2 linked regions of the Stegostoma tigrinum genome follow. The protein of the gene in region 1 binds, or shares a complex with, the protein of each later gene. Links are inferred from orthologs where the notes say so. Each region holds a gene or a part of one and is shown on either strand. Other genes may lie near its edges.

Region 1 (7,693 bases):
GACAAAAAACAGTATTTTGTAAAAGATTCATCAAAACTTCCTTGCTCTTTACATTGTCTGCATGTTTTTAAAGCTCGGGATTCTGTAGACCTTTTAAATCATTATTTCAAACTTCCACTTTCAATGACTCAGGCTCTTATATTCCAGGCCTCGCTGCTCCTGCAACCACTTTAGAATTGTGTGTCATTTATTTTGCTTTGCCTCTCCTTGCTTATCCTACACAAATGTCTCTTTCCACACATCTCTATAATAAATTTGATCTGCTAGGAGTCCACCTATTCCATTAGCCTTTGTTCTTTTAAAACCTCTTTCTTCTATTTAAAGTCTTCTCACCATCCACAATACCTAGAAAGATTTTAAATCACCAGCAATTTCTGAAATTGTGCAGTCTGAAAATCATTTGTCACTCATTTCTATTTCCAGTCAGTCGACTTCATATCAAGTCACTGTCCATTTTGTTCTATAGAAACACAAAAACTGATGGCAAGAATAGGCCATTTGGCCTGTCAAACCCATTCCACTATTCCATGTGGATAATTTTGACAGTTTCTCAACTACCACAGCCTGCACACCTCTCCATGCCTTTATCTTCTAAAAATCTATTTATTTCTCAAATATACTCAGCAACTCTACCTCCACTGCCTGCTGTGGTACAGAAGTCTATTGGTTCACTACACGGAGTAAAGAAATTTCTCCTCATTTCAGTTTGAAATGGCCTGTGCGTAATCTGAGACTGTGACCCCTTGCTCTGGACCCTCTCATCATCAGAAACACTATCTCTGCATCCACTCTGTCCAGCCCTGTCTGCGTTTTATAAGTTTCAATGATGTCTTCTTTCATTCTTCTTAATGCCAGTGAATACAGGCCCAGTCAATCCAATCTCTTCTCAGAAAACAACGTCTGCACAGGGATCAGGCTGATAAAAGAACCTTCAATGTTTCCAGCAAGGCTATGTGGCACTTTACCAAATGCCTTTTGGAAGTTTGTGCATTTTACATCAGCAACCCACGTGAAATGTGTTACCCATTAAAATTTATCCTTAGACCCTCTGAACGAAGACGTAACACTTACATTTCTCCAGTCTCTTGACACCATCCCTGTATCTAAGTAGGATTGGAAGTAATGTGACTGAACTTGTAATCCAGAACCCTGGACTAAAGTTCTGGGGACATCCGTTTGAACTCCACCATGGCAGATGGTGAAACTTTAATTAAAATGCAATCTGGAATTATAAACTTCAGTGTAAGGTAACCATGTAATCAGATGTCAAAACAAAAAAAAATCGAGTTCATTAAATCCTTTTGGGGAAGGGAATCTGTCATTCTTGCCTCTTCTGGCCTAACATGTGACTCCTGACCTGGAAGGTAGTCAACGGCTATCTTGGTAGAGAGATCGGCAATAAATGCTGCCCAAGCCAAAGACTCCCACATCTCAAGAACAAACTGAAAACAAACTGCACTTTCCACCACTGCTTCCTTCAGTATCCTTGGCTACATCCCAACATCTGCTGGTGATGTCAGTTTTTACTTAGTGTCACCCGTTCTAATAAATCCTCTTGAATAATTCTTGGTCCAACCAGGTCTTAACTTTCCCAGTGCTTTCTTCCTTCAATAAGGCAGATGCAATGTTCCTCTGACCAGATAATCAGGAAAAGCACCAAGCAGAACAGTCTAAACATTTATTGATTATTACTCACCTGTGGTGAAGATCAGTATCAGATGAACACAACTGAACCTTGTCAAATTTTATTACAAGTAGTGTTCTCCTTAACATCAATAGTTTGGCAGAACGCAGATCAACGTTACATTTAACTCAAAATTTAGCTTTTTAAAAAATAAATGGAATACTGGTCCAGGCAAAAGTGATTTTGCAGTGGAGTCCATACAGTAGCACCATACAAATTACTCGTGTCAGAATACTGTGCCAACACTGTTAGGTCATGGTTTCAATCTCCACGAGAAACATAAGTCGCCATTAATACGGTCTTTCTGAGAAGTACTGCAACACATCGCTTCGAACCTGCTTTATTTGTTACACATTATTCTGAACGCTTCGGTCTATGCACAGAACAAATGGCAACAAATTTAAACAGACAATTGCTCACCAGTCTCTAACAGATCGAACACCACTCAAGCAATATCTGTGCAAAGACAGCGGCACTTTGGGTACTGCAGAGCGACACAGGCTGGATTCACAGTGCCAACACCAACCTTGTCTCTTTCAAAGTTGTGGCTCAAGTTTCACCCTCCAGTTTACAGTGAGCCACCGGATGAAGCTGGATCCAAGCATTCAAAAAGGTGCATCATTCCAGACTGTAAAGGTCACCTACGGCAATGTTAGGACTCGAGGTCTTCAATTTCCTTAAAACAGAAAAGAGGACATTTGTGCAGAAGCAGCAGGGCTCAGAGCTCTCCCTCTCTCAGCTTACCTGCATTGTAGAAATAATCCAGGACGGCGGTCTCTCCGAAGTCCAGCTTCTCGAAAGGCACAGTATCCAGGGAGGCGCTGACACTCTCGCACGCCTCCCTCAAACACTGCAGAGCCAGGCTCTCGGCGAGCTGCAGCTGAGCCGCCTCGTTCACCACGTACACCACGGTAGTCGGCCGGTTCTTGAGCCGAGCAGCCGGCACTGAGGACGGTACCGAAGCGGCTGCCGTGTGGTCCTGCCAGTAGGTGCCAGCCGGGACACTGCTGCTGGCGCTGGCACTGCCCTGCCCCGGGCACAGGAGCGGCACCGGGACAGCGAGGCCCCCGCCGTCTCCCTCAAGGGCCGCGCCTGCTGCCGCCTCCTGGTCCAGGCTCATATCGGTTAGAGCGAAGCGGAACCGCCGCTGCTGCTGCTGTTTCAGCGACACTATGTCGCCGCTGCGCCTCTCGCTAGAGCGTAGCGAACCAACCTGCTCTCACAGACATGGGAATACGAAGGAATTACATGAACTTGAAAAGAAGCACACTGCAAAAAGCTCGTGATTCCACGCAGCGATATTAATACTTGCAGGAATTAGTCCGATCGCCCCTGCCTGTGTGTATGCTGCTCTGGTTACACTAACCAGTCAGTCCCAAGTCTAGATTTTTAGGGGCTGTCCGATTACCAAAAGAGGACATCCAATCCGAAGGCCCAGTGCAACACGCCAGGAGGAGGCGTGGAGTACAGTATAGCAATAGAGTTTATGCGAGTACCCCACCACTGAACGAGCTCTGGGTGGGATTTTTAAACATGCACGTCATGTTTCAAATGTATTTCCTCACTGCATCTTTGGTTATCTTACAGAGTTACAAATATGGGCTACACTGTGTGTGCCATGTTGATGGCAAACACGCCTTTGATAGTGAACTGTAACTCATGCACTGCGTCAATGTTGGCACTATTTATCAGAGCGCCAATCTTTCTTTGCTTGACCTGGATTCCTAAAGAGCCCCGTCAAGGCAATCATCGGGTCCCTTGCACCCAAACTGGGACAACCTCGTTCCCCCCCACCCCTCCAACCTCCCATTTCCTTCCGTCGCCTCTTGACCTCCCGCAGGTATATTTATATTCCTGCTGGAATCTATTTCTGGAGCCCACGCCTTGAGGAAGTGTGCCCGTTCTTCTCAGATAAGTTTAGACACAATGGGTTGACAGGATGTTTAGTCAAGGGTGGGGTGGCCAGACTGTCAAAATTAACAACCAGGACGCATTGAAAATGTAGGGCTCGCTGATAATTGGTATGTTCAGTCTGGCGGAAGGGCACTTTACGATAGAAGGTCACGTGATGACATCTGGAATATTTCCAGCCAAAGCTGGCAAGTCTATTGAGAACCGGACTTTATATCCTTTAGTACTCTTACATAAAACCGAATGGCTTTCTCACCACCACCTCTGCAACTGGATCCTCATGCTTCTGACCCACAGACCACAATCAGTGAAGATTGACAACTGCACCTCCTCCATGATAACACTCAACACTGGAGCCCCCCCTCTCCCCCCCCCAGGATGCGTTCTCAACCCCCTACTGTACTCCCTGTACATCCGTGGATGCCAAATTCTGAATGAACGCCATCCATAAGTTTGCTGATGGCACCACTGTGGTAGGACAGATATCAGCCAGCGATGAGTCAGAATACAGAAAGGAGATAGAGAGCTTGGTGATGTGGTGCAACAAGAACAACATCGCTCAATGTCAGCAAAACTAATGAATTGATCATTGATTTCAGAAAGAGGGGAGAACACACCCCCAAACATCAGTGGTGCTGAGGTTGAGAGGCTGGAGAGCATCAAGTTCCTCAGAGGGACGATAACTGACAACCTGTCCTGGACTTTCGACATAGATGTGACTGTCAAGAAGACACACAACATCTCTGTTTCCTCAGACAGCTCAGGAAATTTGGCATGCCCACAAGATCTCTCGCCAACCTTTACAGATGCACCATTGAAAGTCCAGGTGTATGGCAACTGCTCTGCCCAGAACCATCAGAAGCTGCAGAAGGTGTGGGCACAGTCCAGACCATCATGGAAACTAACCTCCCATCCGTGGACTCCATTTACATGGCCTGTTGCTGTGGAAAGGCTGCCAACATGATTAAAGACCCATTACATCCAGCAATGCTCTCCCATAACCACTTCAGTCAAGCAGAACATAGAGAAGCCTGAACACATGTACCAACAGCTTCAAGAATTGCTTTTCTTTGCCATTACTAGATTGATGAATGGATTCTCTAACTTCAAAATATGCCGATCTTGCTAATGCCGATCTTGCCTAGTGCACACCCTGCGCGATGTAACTTGCAAGTGGTATGGAGAGGAGGTCGAACCTCTCTGATAATTAAAGTTGAAACACAAGCTCCCAGTCTGTTACAGCAGGAGCCAACTAACAATAACATTCACAACACAACCTACAAATCTGCTCTAAAACTTAGAAGCAGGAGTAGAGGTCCTCTTCCAATAATTAAACCCAAATCATCCAAAGAAGCTTGCCTCACCTCGCCTAATCTGTGAAAAAGTGCGGTTAAATGAAAGAAAATCCCTGATATTTACTTTATAAGTAACAAGTAACAATTTATTTATTTAATGCTAACAGTGAATGCATTAACAGAATTACTAACAAACTGAATAATTCCCCCAACTCCTAACCATTTCCTAACTGAACAAAATTCTACTGGTATGCTGTTCCACTAAACACAAGTCCCCCTTATATAACCCGTGTAATAAGAAAAAAAATTAAAACTTTGTCTCTCAAAGTTTGGGAATGCTCTACCTTCTCCGCTATCGTTCCAATCATAAACACGTTTATTCTACTAATCTTGCTGTTAGGGATGTTTTCTCTATGAATTCTTCTGTGAGGACTCTTAACTAACAGTGTCATGGTACCTCTTATGGATACATGGTGCTTTCTTAGACAGCTTATTGATTTCTTGAGAGAGCTAGATGCTTATGTCTCAGATGGCAGTTTGCTCTCACCCTGATTTTCAAAAACCCTCTGCTTACATATCTTGGATGACATATCAGCTTTCTTACAATCCTTCTAATTCATGAACTCTATGCAACTTCATAACATATACCTCTGTCTAACTTTTTTTTCACCCAATGATCTATGTGTCCTTGCTGAATATGATCTGCCTGTACAGCTCATAAACAAAGCTTTTCACTGTACTTAGCTACATGAGACAATAAATTAAATCAATCACCATGATATATTTTCCTTTGACTAACTATTCTCAATGCAGCCAATTAATTATTTACATGCAAAGACCATTATGGGTAATGCAAAGCATCAAGTATGAGGGAAGGGTGGGGGAAGCAGAAAGTGGCTAAATCAAAATGGAATTGGTGGGTCTAGGCCCGAAACGTCAGCTTTTGTGCTCCTGACGGAATCCTATATCCCATTCCAAATTTAATATGCAATATATAATATTTTCTAACCACAGACATTTTCAGCCAAATGCTGAACTTTAAACAAACAACTGTAGATGACGTGTGCATGGCTTTTGTAGCCTTTCAGCTATCATACACCAGGGCTGAAAACTGTAGATACACTCAGACTAGTTGTGCAGTGAATGTATATTGTGATTATTAAGAATATTAAAATCATGTTGAAGCATTTCAGTATGCTGTGTGAAGACAAGATGAATTTTATTGTAAATACTGTAATTTTCAAGTGGAAATACTGGTCATGTAATTTTACAAACTATATGAATTTGACTTAACAAAAGTAATACCAGGAAAAGGCAGACTTGCCATAAAACTGGAAGAGGAGATTTCCATAAACAGTTTGTGCGTTGCTATACTGGGAAGAAGATGACAATATAAAGGGTAATATTCCAGTTCTGAGGAATTGTTTGTATTGAAACTGAACAGGAAGAATCTAATACAGCCGGTTAGTTGTGTGCGTGGTTAGAGGTTTTCTTTGCATTTAAACTGACAGCAAGCTAAATTAAGGCCTTGCTAATTATACAGTGTCAGACACAACTCCTTTTCATCAAATACTCTAACTCATTGCGTCCAGGAAATAACAACTAATGCTCCACCCAGATTTATCACTGAGAACTGCCAAAATTGAGAGAGTAGGAGTTGAACCCCATTCCTCAAGTTTCCAGCTATTCAGTTTTGTTTTCATAAACTATTTCTGGTAATATTACAGTACTGTAGTTTGAGAATCAACATTTAACGTAAAACACTTCCTCAACTGGTCTCACGATGAATCAAAATATTGAACCATTATGTCATTCTCTATTCATGGTATTGTATCAGAAAAAAATCATTAAGTATAGAAATCTCTTGTTACAATATTTATGATTATGCAAAAACTCTGTTGATCAAAAATGCCTCGATCATCTCAGTGAATTCCATAAATTGCCGTTCTATATAATTATGTAATAGGTCTTTGATTTCTTTTCAATTTTTTTTGCAACACATTACCAGTACTAACAGTGCCACAGATTCAGCCAATACTTCCACGTTTAATTCACAGCAAGCTCTTGAGATTGTTTACATTGGCTGAACATTTGGCTGTTTTTGGCTGGTTATCCAAACCACCTGCAATACTAACTATATTCAGGCAGCTTGAGCTTTTAATCACCTATAAAAAGACACAGCATTCATTTTGAGCACCAAAGAAACAGGGTGGATATGTTGTTATTCTGCAAAAACATTCAACTAATTGAAAATGTAATTAAATACTTTTCTTAATAAGGATCCAGCAGAGTCCAGATTACTACAATTTCAAAATTTGTTGACTTGAGACATAGTTGATTCAAACATTATGTGTAAAACTTTATTATGAGCTGGTAACAGAAGTATTGCTTAGTTTTAAGGGGGTGGGGTCAGTTTTCGCTGTTTTAAGTCAGCTCTGGTCCAGTTGACAGTATTTTCTCCTGAGACAGTGCTGGTAGGTTTAAAACAAACACAGAAAATGCTGAAAAATCCCAGCAGGAATGGTAGCTTCGCTGGTGAGAATCAGAGTAAACATTGCGAGTGCAATATAACTCTTCTCTAGAACTGTAAGGTTGAGATATGGCCACGTACCACTCTAGGTCATAAGCATAAAATGTAGGTACTGATTGTGTTGCACTTTTGGATACGCCATATTTTGCCGATAACTTCAAATCAAGGTCCCATCTATCCTCGCAAGCAGAAGTTCACATGGCATTATTTCAAAGAGTGTGGGTGTTTGCCCTAGTTTTGTGGCCAATATGTATCTCTCAACCAACCTGTGAT
Region 2 (7,591 bases), on another chromosome or scaffold:
ATAAGGATATCTGGGATGTCCGAAAGTGGAATGCCTCATCTCGGGAGCAGATTTGGCAGAGGCAAAGGAATTGGGAATAGGGGATGGCATTTTTGTGGGAAGTTGAATAATAGGAGATGTATTCTAGGAGGTGGGAACACGAGGCGGTGCCCACGAGGAGCTCGTTTCCAACTCTGGCAACCACTTCAAAACCGATATCCATTTCAAGCCTACTGACTCCCACAGCTACCTGTGGAAACAGGGAGGTCCAGGAAGGAGAGAGAGGTATTGGAGATGGTTCAGGTGAACTTAAGGTTGGGGTGGAAGGTGTTAACGAAGTGGATGAACTGTTGAGCACTTTGTGCGCAAAACGTCCTGTTCCTACCTAGAATTTCCCGCAACTCATCCCTCACACCCCCTCCCCGCAATACCTACCAAAACAGAATTCCCCTCATCCTCACATACTACCCCACCAACCTCCGGATCCAACGCATCATCCTCCGGCACTTCCACCATCTGTAATCTGACCCCACTACCAAAGACATTTTCTCCTCCCCACCCTTATCTGCTTTTTGGAGGGACCACTTGCTCCATGACTCCCTTGTCCACTCCACACTCCCCACCAGCCCCACCACACCCAGCACTTTTCCCTGCAAACACAGGATGTGCTGCACCTCCCCCCTCATCTCCATCCCAGGCCCCAAGAAGATCTTCCATATCAAACAGATGTTCACCTGCACATCTGCTAATGTGATACACTGTATCCACTGTTCCCGATGTGACCTCCTCTCCATCGGGTGAAACCAAGCGGAGGCTTGGGGACCGCTTTATGGAACACCCACGCTCCGTTCGCAACAAATGACCGTACCTTCCATTGCAAACCATTTCAATTCCCCGTCCCACTCCTCGGATGAAATGTCCATCCTGGGTCTCCTGCAGTGCCACAAAGATGCCACCCGAAGGTTGCAGCAACAGCATCTCATATTTCATTTGGGAACCCTGCAGGCCAATGGTATCAATGCGGATTTCACAAGCTTCAAAATCTCCCCTCCCCCAACCGCATCCCAAAACCAGCCCAGCTTGTCCCTGCCTCCCTAACCTGTCCTTCCTCCCACCTATCCACTCCTCCCACCTCAGGCCCCACTTCCATCTCCTACCTAGCAGCCTCATCCCACCTCCTTGACCTGTCCGTCCTCCCTGGTCTGAGCTATGCCCTCCGTAACTCCCAACCTACACTCACCTTTACTGGCTCTGACCTGTCTGTCTCCTGTCCACCTATCCTCTTCTTTATCCATCTTCTATCCGCCTCTCCCTCTCTCCCTATTTACATCAGAATTCCCCTCCCTGTCCCTATATCTGAAGAAGGGTCTAGACCTGAAATGTCAGCTTTCCTGCTGCTCTGATGCTGCTTGGCCTGCTGTGTTCATCCGGCTCGACACTTTGTTATCTCTCAACATTAAACCTTCTGTTTTTGGAGCAAGACAAATTTCATAAATACTTGTTCCGAGGAAGGGTCACCAGACCCGAAACGTTAACTCTTTTTTCTCCTCTGCAGATGCTACCAGACTTGCTGAGCTTTTCCAGCAACTTTGTTGTTGTTCATAAATACTTGTATGCTGTAGTTTCACACAGTCAAAGCTGATCATAAGCCATTGAGAGCTATTTTGAATCTAAAGTCAGCAATATCCATTTCAATAACAGCCAGAAAGCAGAAATGGACTTTGATTTTGTCTGCCTAACAGTGAAATGTTAAGTACAAGCAATTGGAAGGTCATTATATTACCAAAGCTTTGTCTGGATTAGCATCCTCATCTGAGATAGAGACCAATATGGATGATGCATTTTGTTTTGCAGATATTAATGAGTTGCCAGTCACTCTGGAAGACATCATGTATTGGCACCGGTATACAACTACATCACGAATGGATGACAACACAAACTCTATTCCAACCTTCTCTGTCAGGCAGAAGAAACAGAAGCTTGGATACTTGCACCAACAGGTTCAAGAACAGCTTCTTCCCTGCTGTTATTTGACTGCTGAATGGACTGCTCAAATTTCAAACCTAAAGTTGATCTTGCTTTGTGCACCTCCTGTGTAGCTGTAACCTTGTATGCCTTGCTCTGTCTAAGCACCCTATGATCTGTACGTCTTTGTTTGCTAATGATCTGCCTGTGCTGCTCATAAAACAAAGTGTTTCACCGTACTTAGGTACATGTGGCAACAATAAAGCAAATGAAAATCAAAAGAAACTAATCAGAAGAGCACGCATCCAGTCTTATGTACAAAGAAGAAGTTACTGGCCAGACAGGATGTCTATTAGCTGAACCTCAACTATCTTCAATTGTCAGAATAAGAGTGTCACAGGGGACTGTGCCTTTCTAGGTAGGTTGGCACAGACCTATTACCTATGTTGGAAAATCAATTGAGCCACATCAGAAATGGCTCAATGCCTGTGGCATGAAAGGTCTATGTGGTGCTGAATTTCTATGTCTCAGGATCACAGCTGAGAATACTGAATGATTTAGGGACATTTCTGGATAGTCCAGATGCAGGTTATCATGCATGTTGTCAACAAGCTTCCACAAACCAGGCAACAGCCTTTATCAGCGGAAGACCTTCTGCACAATGTGCATTTCATCTGTGCAACATTTCAGTCAAGCAACTGTGCCACATACATACTTAGGAAAGACTAGGTGTCAGACCCAATTAGGTACCCAAATATTTGTTCCATCCATGTTCAAGGATGAAACTGGTTGACAAGGGCTGTTCATTAAAGAAACAGCTAACAATGCCTATAAGGCATCCAACAAATATATGCAGTGGATAAATACAACATCTTCTGGGGTTAACTCAAACAATTATCAAGCAGGCCATGGGACGATTCCAATGATAGCTTGATTGCTCTAGTGGAGTCTTCCAAAATGTCACAGAAAGAGTGCTATGTGCCCTGCATAACTGATTACAAAAGACCTCCAGTATTGATGGACACCGATGTTCCATCTCCATGGACACCAGAGCATGGATATATCCAAGAAAAAAGAATCAGATAGTTGGGTCAAATAACTTCCTCAACAGTTCACTGATGGACCTGTTAATTACCAGGCCCATGAGCATGCTAAAAAATAAGTTCTTCAATCTGACTACCCCACATTGCACTGGATGGCTAAGATGTAACAAAATGTTGAGAACAGCCCTCAAATATTGAAAGAGGACATACATTATTGTATAGTGTACATAAATATATCACACAGGCTCCTCAAGACAAGAGAGTAGACAAGATTCACGCCTGCCCCTGAGGTACCCAATGGTTGCAGAAGGTCTCAAATATACTCCCCAGGAGCCCTTGCCACCTCCAGATGGCAGAACATTATGCTACAGTATGTTTCAGTAGCTGATGAGGAAGTTTCTCTGTATAGAATCTTGCTTTGGACTATGGGAAACACAACAGGAGCATTCATCCAAGATTGAAACATGGGACCTGATGCACATTCACTCAACAGAAGTCCTAAAGGAAGAACCCATGTCCCTAGACTAAGGGGTCAACCTCATAGTCTTTTTATGTCTCTTATCAATCTCAAACCACTGCCCATTCCCAATCCTACTTCCTTATGTATCCTGCCAGAAAACAAAACTCTTCTGATTCACGTACAGTTACACTTTCAAAATCATTATCACGCTAAACTTGAAAAGTGCAGATGAACAATCTCCATTGCTCAACTCTTAATAAGCAACTGTGCAATTTTAGAGGCCTGTCAATTGCTACATGTTTGAAATAATTATTTATTGAAGTAGTTTAATTTCACAAAACTTGAGTATTGCCAAAAACAGGAAAAATTTGTTAATTTTGAAAATTTTCTGAATAAGGGTCTAGACCCGAAACGTCAGATTCTCCAGCATCGGCAGTGCCTACTATTCTTCTCGCCAGCAATTTCTGTTTTATTGTTCTGATTTCCAGCACTCGCAGTTTTTTTTAATATAGAGGAAATGTGAGTTTTTGTGGTCGAGTAGCATCCCTCTGGCATTCTATAATGTGTAGAAAAAGAAAATCAAGAATGACTCTCCAAAATAAATCAATGTGTGCACACGAAGCAGTTATTTGTATATCAGGGTACGGCCAGGACTTCGCAGTGAGTTACGTACGCGAAGTGATTCTTATAACTGACTGAAATTCGAATTAAATAACACGCGAACTGCTCCTTACTGTATTTGCACCTGTTTACTGTACCACTTAATCATACGCATACGTTTGCTATTTTTAATGGGATACCTCACCATTTATAAGATTGATGACTAAAAATCTCCCAAAGCTTTGCCGCTGTTATTCCTGCGGATTACCAGGGCTACGCCGGTGCAATAAATTTACTTATGAGCTACACTTATTAACGATACGTTGATGTGTCTGATTTAACAAGTGGTAGTGACACGTTCACTTTGGAATAAGTAATGGTGAGGCACGAGGGACAAATGACGGCTGCAAAATAGTCACAGAAGAATTTTTCAAAATCCTTATTGTAAAGGGAGGGGTAATGCTCGATCTTCACAATTTTATCCCTCATTTAAAAAAACTGCGTTAATGTTTTACCGATGTGAAGCGGAAGAGAAAAAAGCTCCATTTGAATCTGCAAACTGGAAGTGTTGAGGCGTGCGGATATTTTGCTGCAGTGAATGGTTTGTCTTTCCGGGAAGAAGGTCAGGGGGAGGGAACATTTCTTGAGTTTCTCCTTTACACAACTCAGGAAATCCAACATGGAGGCCCTGAGTAAAGGCCGCGATATAAGCCTTTCTGCCTTGAAACAAAATGACCCTTTCATCTCCAGCATCGTCGATGTGACCAGCCAGGTTGCGTTGTATACTTTTAACCCAAAGGCCAGTGAGTGGGTAAGATGGTGTTTCTTCATTTCGTGCTGGGGATGAGGAAAAAGAATAACCAAAACGGCAGCGATCTTTATGAACTGCTTTACTTGCCTGGGAAGCCTTTTGAAGTTTTCGACGGGCGGCTGTGTCTCTGCATTTTGCTTTTGGCCCTGCAGCACAAATTTGTTCAAGTCTAATATCTTGAAGGTCTGAGTGTTGAAGTTAAATAAGAAGGTAGAAACTTAACGGTCAACATTAAACAGCTTGAAGACCTTTTTATACTCTAATTCCATACTGATTCATGTTGCATACGAAACTATTCGCACCAGACTTCATCCTGCGCTATGAAACATAACCTTCTGTCACTTTCATTCTCTTATATTTATCCAATGTCTTTCCTTAATCATCAAATAACATTACTAAAGTTTCTTGAAAAGGCTCAAGTGGCTTGAGACTAGCATTGAATTGTGATGTCCGTATGCTCTTCCTCAGCCAAATCCTTCAGTTTCTTTGGTTAAGAAAAATCGATTGACCTTACAGCAGTTACTATTGGACGAAGAGTCCAAACTTTTCACTCTTTGTCTGTAAAATGTGTTTCTTAACTGCACTCCTGCAAGGCCTGGTTCATACTCTTAGATGTACAATACCTTTGTAATCAGACTCACTGACCAGTAGAAATAACTTCTCTACACCTTTTTACTTGTTCCCACTAACGTTATAAATGGTCAAGAATACAGGCTTAATGTGATTTGTCCGTTTGAGTTTTAATCTGTACAGTCCAGGCAGCATGACCAACTGTTATGAAATGATCGAAGGGACACTTCATCTGGGGTTGATGGGGTTTTCAAGAAATTCCATGAATGAAAATAATGTGGAATTAGAGCCTGTCATCTGCATGTTTGGCTGCTCTTTGAGTATTTTGCCAACAGCTTGGGGTTAATGGGAACACATTGCAACTACACCAAGCCACAATGGGAATTGAAAGAAGTGACTGTAGTTTGTCTTTTTGACTACCTCATGAAAGGTACAGAAATGTAGGACAAATGATATCTCTGGAAATGCAAGTGACCCAATTCTGTTGGGTCACTGAGCCCCTGAATCAATCTGGTAAAACCTGTACTCCACTCTTTCCAAATCTAACGTATCTTTGCTATGGTGTCACTCTTAAACTGCATGTAGTATTTCAGGGCTTTGCATTACTGAACCATACTTGCCTATGTTGAAATTCATTTGATAATTTTGTTAAATCACATGAAATTAGATACGTCCTTTTTATACAACATATATTGTCTATTTTATGTTTTCTGGACAAGCTTGGATGTGTGGATTCCTATTATGCTAAATCAATAGAATATCTACGTTTTCATCATCAGACTCATGGCATCCTGCAATTTTTGTTTTGAATTTGCTATGAAGTATAGTATTTAAAATTGAAACAGTTTGAAAATTCAAATATCATTTTTAAGTTTATGCTTCAAAGAATAGCTCAATAAGATTTCATACTTTAAAACTTGTTGTCACAATTGACTAAAATATATTAAGACTATAAGTTGCTGACAAAATGGAAACAAACAATTTTGGGGAAGTGTCACAGTGCACAAGGAGGCCATTGTGTCTTTACGAGTACATTAATGAGCATCACTATAAGGTGCCAATCTCCTGCTTCGCCCCCACCCTGTGTAACATTCCACATAATTTGGATAGAAATAATCTCCCAAAACCCTCTTGAGTGTCTCAATGGAACCAGATTTCACCACGCTTCAGCTTGTACGTTCCAGACCCTAATTTCCTGCTAATTGAAAAATATTGTCCTCAGTTCTCCCTGGTTCTTTGCAGGTCACTTTAAGTTTATTCCCTTCTGTACTTGCTTTTTTTTTCACAAGTGTGAGTTGTTTTTCCCTATTTGCTGTATCCAATTCACTCATGATTTTGAAAATTTTCCATCATATCTACTCTTAGGACTGTTCTCCTTGCAGAGAAGAAGGCTAACTACTTAAGTTACGAAGGTAGATTGAAGTTCCTCATCCTTAGAACTATTTTTATAAATAGATTCTACGCTCTTTTCAATGCTTTGACGTTCTTTGTAATATGGTGCCAGTTCTGTGCAACATACTCAAGCTGAGATCTAAAAAGTGTCTTGTACAAGTCTATCTCCTTGCTATTGACCCAGTTAATAAGACCAAGGACTATGTACTTTTTACTTATTGCTGTCTCTATACCTGTCTTAGCACTTTCAATGACTTCTGCACATAGGCTCCCAGGTCTATCTACTCCTACACTCCCTTAGAATTCTACCCATTATTTTAGATTGTCTTTCAGTATGTTCTTCCCACCAAAATTCTTCTCTACATTGTCATTTATTGCCCCTATCGTAAACTTGCTAGTGAAATTAACACTACCATCCTTGCATTTTACAATTCTTGCAAGTTTTGTGTTCTCTGAAAACTTTGAAATTTAACTCCTGCACACAAAACCTAGATTATTTAATATATATATTTCAAGAACGAATTACTTGGATCTAGTCCTTGAGACTAAAAGGATCACAAGGTATGGGGAGAAAGTGAAAACATGATACTGAGTGGGATGATCCGCCATGATCATATTGAATTTTAAAGGGCCCACATAGCCTACGCCTGTTCCTACTTTCTGTGCCTCTATATTAGTAGAGGAAAGATCACAATGCTGACCCATGGAACTGAATTGCAAATCTGCCTACAACCCCAAAAAAATCTATTGACCATAGTTATCTGTTTGCTA

Evidence for each region. Proteins that work in one complex are often made in the same cells at the same time.
Region 2: map3k5 (region 1) and dcp1a share a complex: the UniProt entries of both Homo sapiens proteins name them as parts of the cytoplasmic complex. The link is inferred for Stegostoma tigrinum from reciprocal best matches to the Homo sapiens genes MAP3K5 and DCP1A.

The regions. Positions count from the first base shown.
Region 1 is NC_081357.1:44,909,422-44,917,114, forward strand, and holds the start of map3k5 (mitogen-activated protein kinase kinase kinase 5), read right to left. Parts: upstream 3,048-7,693; 5' UTR 2,805-3,047; coding exon 2,429-2,804; intron 2,402-2,428; exon of another isoform or gene 2,211-2,401; intron 1-2,210. UniProt on the Homo sapiens protein: Serine/threonine kinase which acts as an essential component of the MAP kinase signal transduction pathway. Plays an important role in the cascades of cellular responses evoked by changes in the environment.
Region 2 is NC_081364.1:29,252,668-29,260,258, reverse strand, and holds the start of dcp1a (mRNA-decapping enzyme 1A), read left to right. Parts: upstream 1-4,573; 5' UTR 4,574-4,645; coding exon 4,646-4,858; intron 4,859-7,591. UniProt on the Homo sapiens protein: Necessary for the degradation of mRNAs, both in normal mRNA turnover and in nonsense-mediated mRNA decay. Removes the 7-methyl guanine cap structure from mRNA molecules, yielding a 5'-phosphorylated mRNA fragment and 7m-GDP.